2 linked regions of the Ovis aries genome follow. The protein of the gene in region 2 interacts with the protein of the main gene of each other region in a biochemical or structural test. Links are inferred from orthologs where the notes say so. Each region holds a gene or a part of one and is shown on either strand. Other genes may lie near its edges. The genes, in order: CABP1 and ITPR1.

Region 1 (3,819 bases), on a different chromosome or scaffold from region 2:
GAGCATGTGCAGTTAGAGATGATCACTAATTATGATTATTACTATTTTAAAAACACTTTTACTGAGCATTCGCTATCTGTCAGGTACTGAGTTCTGTGAGAATCTCAGAGATAAAGAAAGTAGGGTTCCTCTTTTCTCCGAAAGTTCAGAATTCAGTGGAGATATAACTAGCACTTAGGGGCCGGTGTGAAGAACGAGGGTAAGCCTGAGGTGCTCTGAAAGCCCAGAAAAGAGGAAGCTCAGTCTGGGGACCGAGGGAAGTGGCCCCACTGCTGGGTCTTAAAGATGGAATAGGCTTTAACGCCAGGGAAGAATAGAATACAGGCATCCTGACAAAAAGAATAGTGTAATCAAATGAGAGCTTTGCAGGCTTTTGGATCACCTGGGGTTTTAAGGCGGCGTGTGAGTGAAGGAATGGCGAAAGCCGTGGCCAGAGAGGCGAGTCGTGGATAGATGTTAAGGGGTTCGAGTGTCAAGTTGAGGAATGTGGTGCTCAGAAAATACCTCCATGGATGGATACAGGGGAAGGTGGACCAATAGACATGGAACACGGTGGGTGGGGGCAGAGGGACAGGAGTGGATAGATGGATGACTAGATGGATACAGATGGGGAAAGGACTGTGCACACAGCTGACAGATCCATGGAAGTACGGGTGGAGATACAGGCGGATGGGTAGAGAATAAATGTGTGAATGAAGGTTGAGAGCTGCAGATGCATGGATAGATGGGAGGGGGTATACGGGTAGATGGAGGCACGGGTGAATGTTCAGAATGAATAGATGCCTGGATGGGTAGGTAAGGCCATAGGTAAACGATTCTATGGAAAATGATCTGGAGATCCGTTAGCGGATAAATAGGCACCTGGACAGAAAAAGAGACAGATGGATGAACACATGGAAAGAGAGGTCTGGAAAGATGGATGGATGAGTGGGTGTAGGAACAGACGATGGATTAGGGGGGCGGAAGGATGGAAGGGTAAGGGGATGGCAAGTTGGGGCGGGTTGATGACCGCATGGTGGACCCACATGTGGAGGGATGCTCTCTGTGGATGCCCACTCCTGTCTTGGTTCTTCTTCCACTCTCAAGACCCGCCTACCTTCAAAGTCCACTCGTCCATCCCCATTGAGGTCCACATCCCGGATAATCTCTTCTATGTCTCGGTGTCCCACCTGATGACCCAGGAGTTTCCTCATGGCCTCTCGTAACTCACTGGTGCTTATCTCCCCATCACCGTTGGTGTCAAACTAGAGAGGGCACGGAGGAGGAAAGAGTAGCTGCAACAGGAAGACTGTCAGAAGCAGATCCCAAGGTTGAACCCCTTCTTCAGCATCATTGTCCCCCTACCCCTTCCCCAGAGCGCCTCTCTGTCCAAGCTTCTTCCCGTGGGGTGGGATCCAGAGGTCCAGTTTCCTTTCAGGTTGGGAATTCTAACAAGTCCCCCCGCTCCTGCCTGTCCGCTGTCCACCACTTACCTCTCGGAAAGCATCTCGCAGTTCCTTTACTCCAATCATATCTGCTGTTTCCGCCAGGAGTTTAGGTCCCATTAGCTCCACAAAGTCATCAAAATCCACGTGGCCACCCACTGGGGACAGAGGAACAGGCTGGGTCATCCATCTAACCACCACCCACCTCCAACTAGACAACCGGGGAAGCTGTCAGCCCTCCCCTGACCTTCCCAGCGGCAGGCCCAGGGTAAAAGCAGAGGCCAAATGAGGACAGAGAAGAGACCACAGACAGGGGGGTTATCACAAAAGAGCTCAGAGGAGCAGCCGGGGGCTAACTAAGGGAACAAGTCAGGAACTGGACAGGCGTACACAGGGGAGAAAGAAACATGAGGTCACAGAGATAGGCAAAGAATTTCAGAGCAGGAGAGAGACAGAGACAAACATGCAGAAAGGCAGAGATGGGAGCAGGAGTCGTGAGCGCCTGGCCCGCGTGCCCACTTGCCCCCCTCTCTCCCTCACTGTGCAAGTGGAACTCACCTTCCAACCAGCCTTCAGAGGGTGGAAATACAGGAGACCTGCCCCCGGGGCCTGCTCACAACACTTTCAGCCAGTGACTGAGCTTGGGGGATAAATACCCAGCCCGAGAGATAGCTCCATGGTGGGCCTTCGACACCAGCACCCTGAGCTCCATCACCCACAGTGGCAGCTCCTTGAGTGCCTTCTCCCTTGGCGCCCTGTCTTCACCCTCCTGCCTCCCTAATCTCTATAGACTCTGTCCTTCCCCTTCTAAGTAAACTCCACACTCAAACCCTTGTCTCCTGGTCTGCTCCTGGGAGGACCCAAAGGGAGACAGAGAAAAACATAATAATGATAGTGTCCTCTGGTCAACTCTTACTGACTGCTAGGTATCGATTATTGGGCTGTTCAGAATATTACAGCCCAACAGTGTCTAGGGACTTCTTTCCTGGTGGTCCAGTGGTTGGGAGTCCCGCCGGCCAATACAGGGGACACGATCCCTGGTCTGGGAAGGTCCCATCTGCCATGGGGCCACTGAGCCCGTGCACCACAGCTGCTGAAGCTCGCGCTCTAGAGCCCATGCTCTGCACAAGAGAAGCCACCGCGATGGGAAGCCCACACATCGTAACCAGAAAGTAGCCCCTGCTAAAGGCAACTGGAGAGAGTCCGCGCGTAGCAACAAAGACCCAACACAGCCAAAATAAATTAATTAATTAAAAAAAATAAAATATGTCCCCTAAAGAGAAACAGGCTCACGGATACAGAAAACAAACCAGCAGTCACCAGTGAGGAGAAGGGGGGTTGGGGGAAGGGCAACATAGAGGCTGGGGATTAAGAGACGTCAGCTACTCTGTGTAAAATCAAAAAGCCACGGGGATATATTGTGCAGCACAGGGAACAAAGCCAACATTTTACAATAACTTTAAATACAGTCTAATCTGTAAAAACTTTGAATCCCTATGTTGTACACCTGAAACGAATATCATACTATAAATCAACCATAAGGTGAAGGTGAAGTCGTTCAGTCGTGTCTGACTCTTTGCGACCCCACAGGCTGTAGCCTACCAGGCTCTTCCATCCATGGGATTTTCCAGGCAAGAGTACTGGAGTGGGTTGCCATTTCCTTCTCCAAACAAAGATACTTCAACTCAAAAAAAAAAAGAAAAAGAAATGCCCAGAATAGGCAAATCTGCTTAGACAAAATGTAGATTAGTGGTTGTCCAGGGCTGGGGAGGGACTTGGGGGTGATGGCAAAGTGGTATAGGACTTCTTTGGTGGAGGGGGCATGAAAATATTTTAAAGTTGATTGGGGTGATGGTTGCGCAACTCTGAATATACTAAAAGACACTGAATTTTATCCTTTAATTCCCCAACCAGGGATCAAACCCATGCCCCCTGCAGTGTGGATAAGAGTCCTAACCACTGGACCACCACAGAAGTCCCTGAAGGGAATGCTTTAAGTGAGTCACCTGTATGATATATGAATTATATCTCAATAAAGCTGTTTCCTCCAAAAATAAATGAATAAATAAGCCAAGAAAAATAATAAATAAATAAGCAAACATACCCCCAGTTAACTCCCCATTCCACCCCTCATTTTACAGGTGAAGAAACTGAGGTACAGGGAGGGTAAGCGGTTTGCCTGCAGGTCACAGAGCTAGGAAGAAGGGGGAGCTCAGAACTTGAACCCCGGCAGAGGACAGCGAGGGCGAGGCCGGGGAGGGAACGGGGTGCCTGGCAGCGGGACTCACGGTTCATGTTGATCTGCTGAGACAGCTCGATGAGCTCCATCTCGGTGGGCATGTAGCCCATGGTGCGCATACAGTTACCCAGGTCCCGGCAGTTGATGTAGCCATCC
Region 2 (3,819 bases):
CCCCACATTTTCAAGTATTTGAGGACCAGTTATGTTCAGGAAGACTGAGTTCACCGAGGAGCCTGTCCCAGTTGATGGAATGAACACAGATTTCAGGTTCAAGATCACTTAGATAGAGACTTTCCTGTGTAGTCCACCCACCCTTGAGGTTCTATTCTTTCCACAGGGAGGCTTAGCCGTTGAAACAGTAGGTGATGGCAGTTTTCATTCTTTTCACAAACAGATCTTCAAGCTGTTACAGGCCCCGTTCACAGACTGTGGTGATGGCCCAATGCTGCGTCTGGAGGAGCTGGGAGACCAGCGGCACGCGCCCTTCCGACACATCTGCCGCCTTTGCTACCGGGTCCTGAGACACTCCCAGCAGGACTACAGGAAGAACCAGGTGGGCTCTGAGGACCCTGGGGAGTGCCAGACAGCTTCCTCCCTCGAGTTCACTTTCCTCCATGAGTTTTAAGTGTCCCATGTATATATTTATTTAGTGGCTAGAGTCTAGTTCATTGTTCAATTTGCTCTTCAATAGGAAACAGGTATTTTTGCAAGCCTGGGAAGATGCATGAGTGAGTTGAGAAGGATACATCAAAATTCTCCTACAGCATCCTTGGAATGAGATTTTTTTTTTTAATGTTGATATTACAAGTATAGTATTTTTTAAAACTTTTTATTTTATATTGGATTATAGCTGATTAACAGTGTAGGGATAGTTTCAGGTGGGCAGCAAAGGGACTCAGCCATACATGACATATATACATTCTCCCCTAAACTCCCTTCCCATCCAGGCTGCCACATAACATTGAGCAGAATTCCCTGTGTTATACAGTAGGTCCTTGTTGGCTATCCATTTTAAATATAGCAGTGTGTACGTGTACAGTATTTCTTATGGCACATTTCTGGAAGGTGTAAGGGTGCAATGGTTCCATGTGCTTTTATTAGAAATGGAATGAAATCTTTTCTTCCTGCCCCATCCATTCCCTCCATCTCTGCTGGTAGCTTCCTCTTTGTTTTGGTTCTGGCTCGTATTTTAGACATTCTAAGTCATCATCTATTGTCATCACAAGTAAACACACAAACACAAACAATATAGTCTCTCTACGAGGTAAATATTTAAACCTCTGTGATGGTTCCAAACAACTGGAGATGCTGAGGAATCACTGTGTTAGTGGTTGTTAACTGGGAGCAATTTCACCACCCACCCCCACCCTGCCCTGGGGCAGGAGGACGTGTGGAAATGTCTGGAGATGCTATTGAGTGTCACAACTTGGGAATACTACTGGCATGAAGTGGATGGAGGCCACGGATGCTATTTAGCATCTGGGCAAGCCCAGCCCAGTCCCCCCACCCCCAACAAAGAATTATCCGGTCCAAGAAGTCAGTAGGTACTGCTGAGTTCAAGAAACCCTGTGTTCCATAAACTACTATAAGTGCACAGTGATGCTTCTTATAATATGGACTCCAGTCCCTGCAGTGTGTTACAAAAGATTTTGTTTTTAAGCTTTGACCGCCGCTATATCTGGCCTTTAAATGTAAACTGTTCTCTGTAGTGAATGTTTTTTGTGTATCATCACACAGCGTTGGTCCTAAGCAGTGCTCTGAAGTATTAGATACAACTTTATTAGCAAGTATTGGGCTGGCCAAAAAGTTTGAGTTCTCCACAAGATGTTATGAAACACCTGAACAAACTTTCGGCCAACCCAGTATTGCTAAATCATTCGCTTTGCCTTTGCTACTGTTTAGATACAAAGCATCACACACTGGTGATGCTGTGTTCATTCGTTAGCATAGGTTGCCGTCGGGCACTATGGTCGGTTTAAACCCCTCTTGTGTGTGAGTACCATACTTACACCATACTTGTGCTAAAGAGGTTTTATTCTCTTCCCATGAGGATGCGTCAGAGTCTGTAATGTGTGCCGGGACCTTTTGCTTGCACATCAGAGGACTAGACCCGTCCTTCTTGTTGCTGTTGCTATGGGTGTCTTGGCTTGGTTGTTTATGGACCCTGTGCCTTTTGGCAGTAGTACTGACATATCCCTGGGGGCTGATGAATTCTCAGACATGCATCCTTACTGAGTGAGGGCTGAAAAGTGGCCCAAGTCCACTCTGTTAGTCCTTAGTCACTTTTAAGATTTTGAAATTAATGAATTAAAATGAAACCAAGTTTCAAGGGCCTTTTGAGCTTTGAGCAAGCAGTCTGTCTTGGACAGGGAAAATATCTTTGAATAACAAAAGTATTTATAAGAGGCTTCCTGGCCTTCTGAAATATTTCAATGGGACATCATATCTGATCTCAAAAGAGAAGTCAGAGATGTTTCCATGTGTTCTGTGAATGTAATTGACTGGTTTACATATTCCTGGGCTTCCCTGGTGGTTCATCTGGTAAAAAATCTCCCTGCAATGTGGGAGACCTGGATTCAATCCCTGAATTGGGAGATTTCCCTGGAGAAGGAACAGCTACCCACTCTAGTATCCTGGCCTAGAAAATTCCATGGACTGTATAGTCCAAGGAGTCACAAAGAGTTCAACTCAACTGAGTGACTTTCATTTCACTTCTTCACATGTTTACAACTACCCACTGACTTTAATTTTCATCCCGGATAAGGAAAACACAATGGAGTAATAACATTGTTCAAAATATCCAGGTAGACTTCACCATGTTTATTCAGCAGCACAGGGCAGTGAGGCACAGTTTAATCCTCTTGAATGAGTAATAAAATCAGAGCTGGAAAACAACTCTTGACCTTTAGAAAAATAAGTCACCACATTAAAATGTATACTGTGGACTTAAGAAAATGCCCATCTATAAATACAGGATATGTTACTTAGTGATACCTGTGTGGCAGGTTTAGTAAACTAAAGGATGTGAGAGAGTCTGCGGCTGTCTCCCTGGGTTGGGAAGTTGGGGAAGGACACTCCCCTGTGATTTTCCTTACAGGGAGTAGCTCTCCTGGGGGCTGCTGCCCCTTCCCTTACTCTGCGCCTCACCACACTGTCCTCCTTGCTTACCTCTCTCTCCTCGCTTCGAAGGAGTACATAGCCAAGCAGTTCGGCTTCATGCAGAAGCAGATTGGCTATGACGTGCTGGCTGAAGACACTATCACCGCCCTTCTGCACAATAATCGCAAACTCCTGGAAAAACACATCACCGCGGCAGAGATTGACACCTTCGTCAGCCTGGTGCGGAAGAACAGGGAGCCCAGGTGAGGCGGAGGTGGGGTTGATCGGCAGGAGGTGCCTCTGTGTTTACGATGCAGTCTCTGAGCTGGTCATGGTGGGTTGTTCTGTTCTGTTCTAACTAGATGTCGTTTGTTTGGGCCTGCTAGGCCCCGGGTCTTGATTGAGCAGGTCTTGAGAGGCGCTTTGAGTCGTGAAAAGAGCGTGGTATGGAAAGGAGACCAGGGTAGAATCCTGGCTCCGCAGTTTACCAGGTGGTGACCTGGAGCTTTAATCTCATCTATCAGATAAGCTGTTATAAAAATTAAATGAAGATAAATACATGTGAAGTGCCTGGCACTTTGTAAGTGATAGCTGTCGACCCCTCATTCACTTTGTAGCACCCTGCTATGACCAGTCAGAACGTCCCCAAATATCAGTAAGTCTTTTGCACACATAGTTATTACCTGAGTGTTTGTATTTACAGTAGTGAATTCTGTCAATTCTATTGCATTCTTACAGATCCCACCCTCCCTGTATACTTTCTTCTCTCTTTTCTTGTTTTAATTAAGATCCACCCCATGTCAGGGGATGTGGGAACTAGTTTACAATGTGGATATTAGAAACAGTGATGATAGAGAGCTGAAGGTGTTATTATGAAACTGACTCCTCCCA

What was found.
Region 1: the proteins of ITPR1 (region 2) and CABP1 form a complex in vitro, tested with the Homo sapiens proteins (2 studies listed by BioGRID). The link is inferred for Ovis aries from reciprocal best matches to the Homo sapiens genes ITPR1 and CABP1.

What each region holds. Positions count from the first base shown.
Region 1 is NC_056070.1:63,045,060-63,048,878, reverse strand, and holds part of CABP1 (calcium-binding protein 1), read right to left. Parts: coding exon 3,713-3,819; intron 1,583-3,712; coding exon 1,473-1,582; intron 1,245-1,472; coding exon 1,097-1,244; intron 1-1,096. UniProt on the Homo sapiens protein: Modulates calcium-dependent activity of inositol 1,4,5-triphosphate receptors (ITPRs). Inhibits agonist-induced intracellular calcium signaling.
Region 2 is NC_056072.1:21,688,905-21,692,723, reverse strand, and holds part of ITPR1 (inositol 1,4,5-trisphosphate receptor type 1), read left to right. Parts: intron 1-223; coding exon 224-382; intron 383-3,018; coding exon 3,019-3,191; intron 3,192-3,819. UniProt on the Homo sapiens protein: Inositol 1,4,5-trisphosphate-gated calcium channel that, upon inositol 1,4,5-trisphosphate binding, mediates calcium release from the endoplasmic reticulum (ER).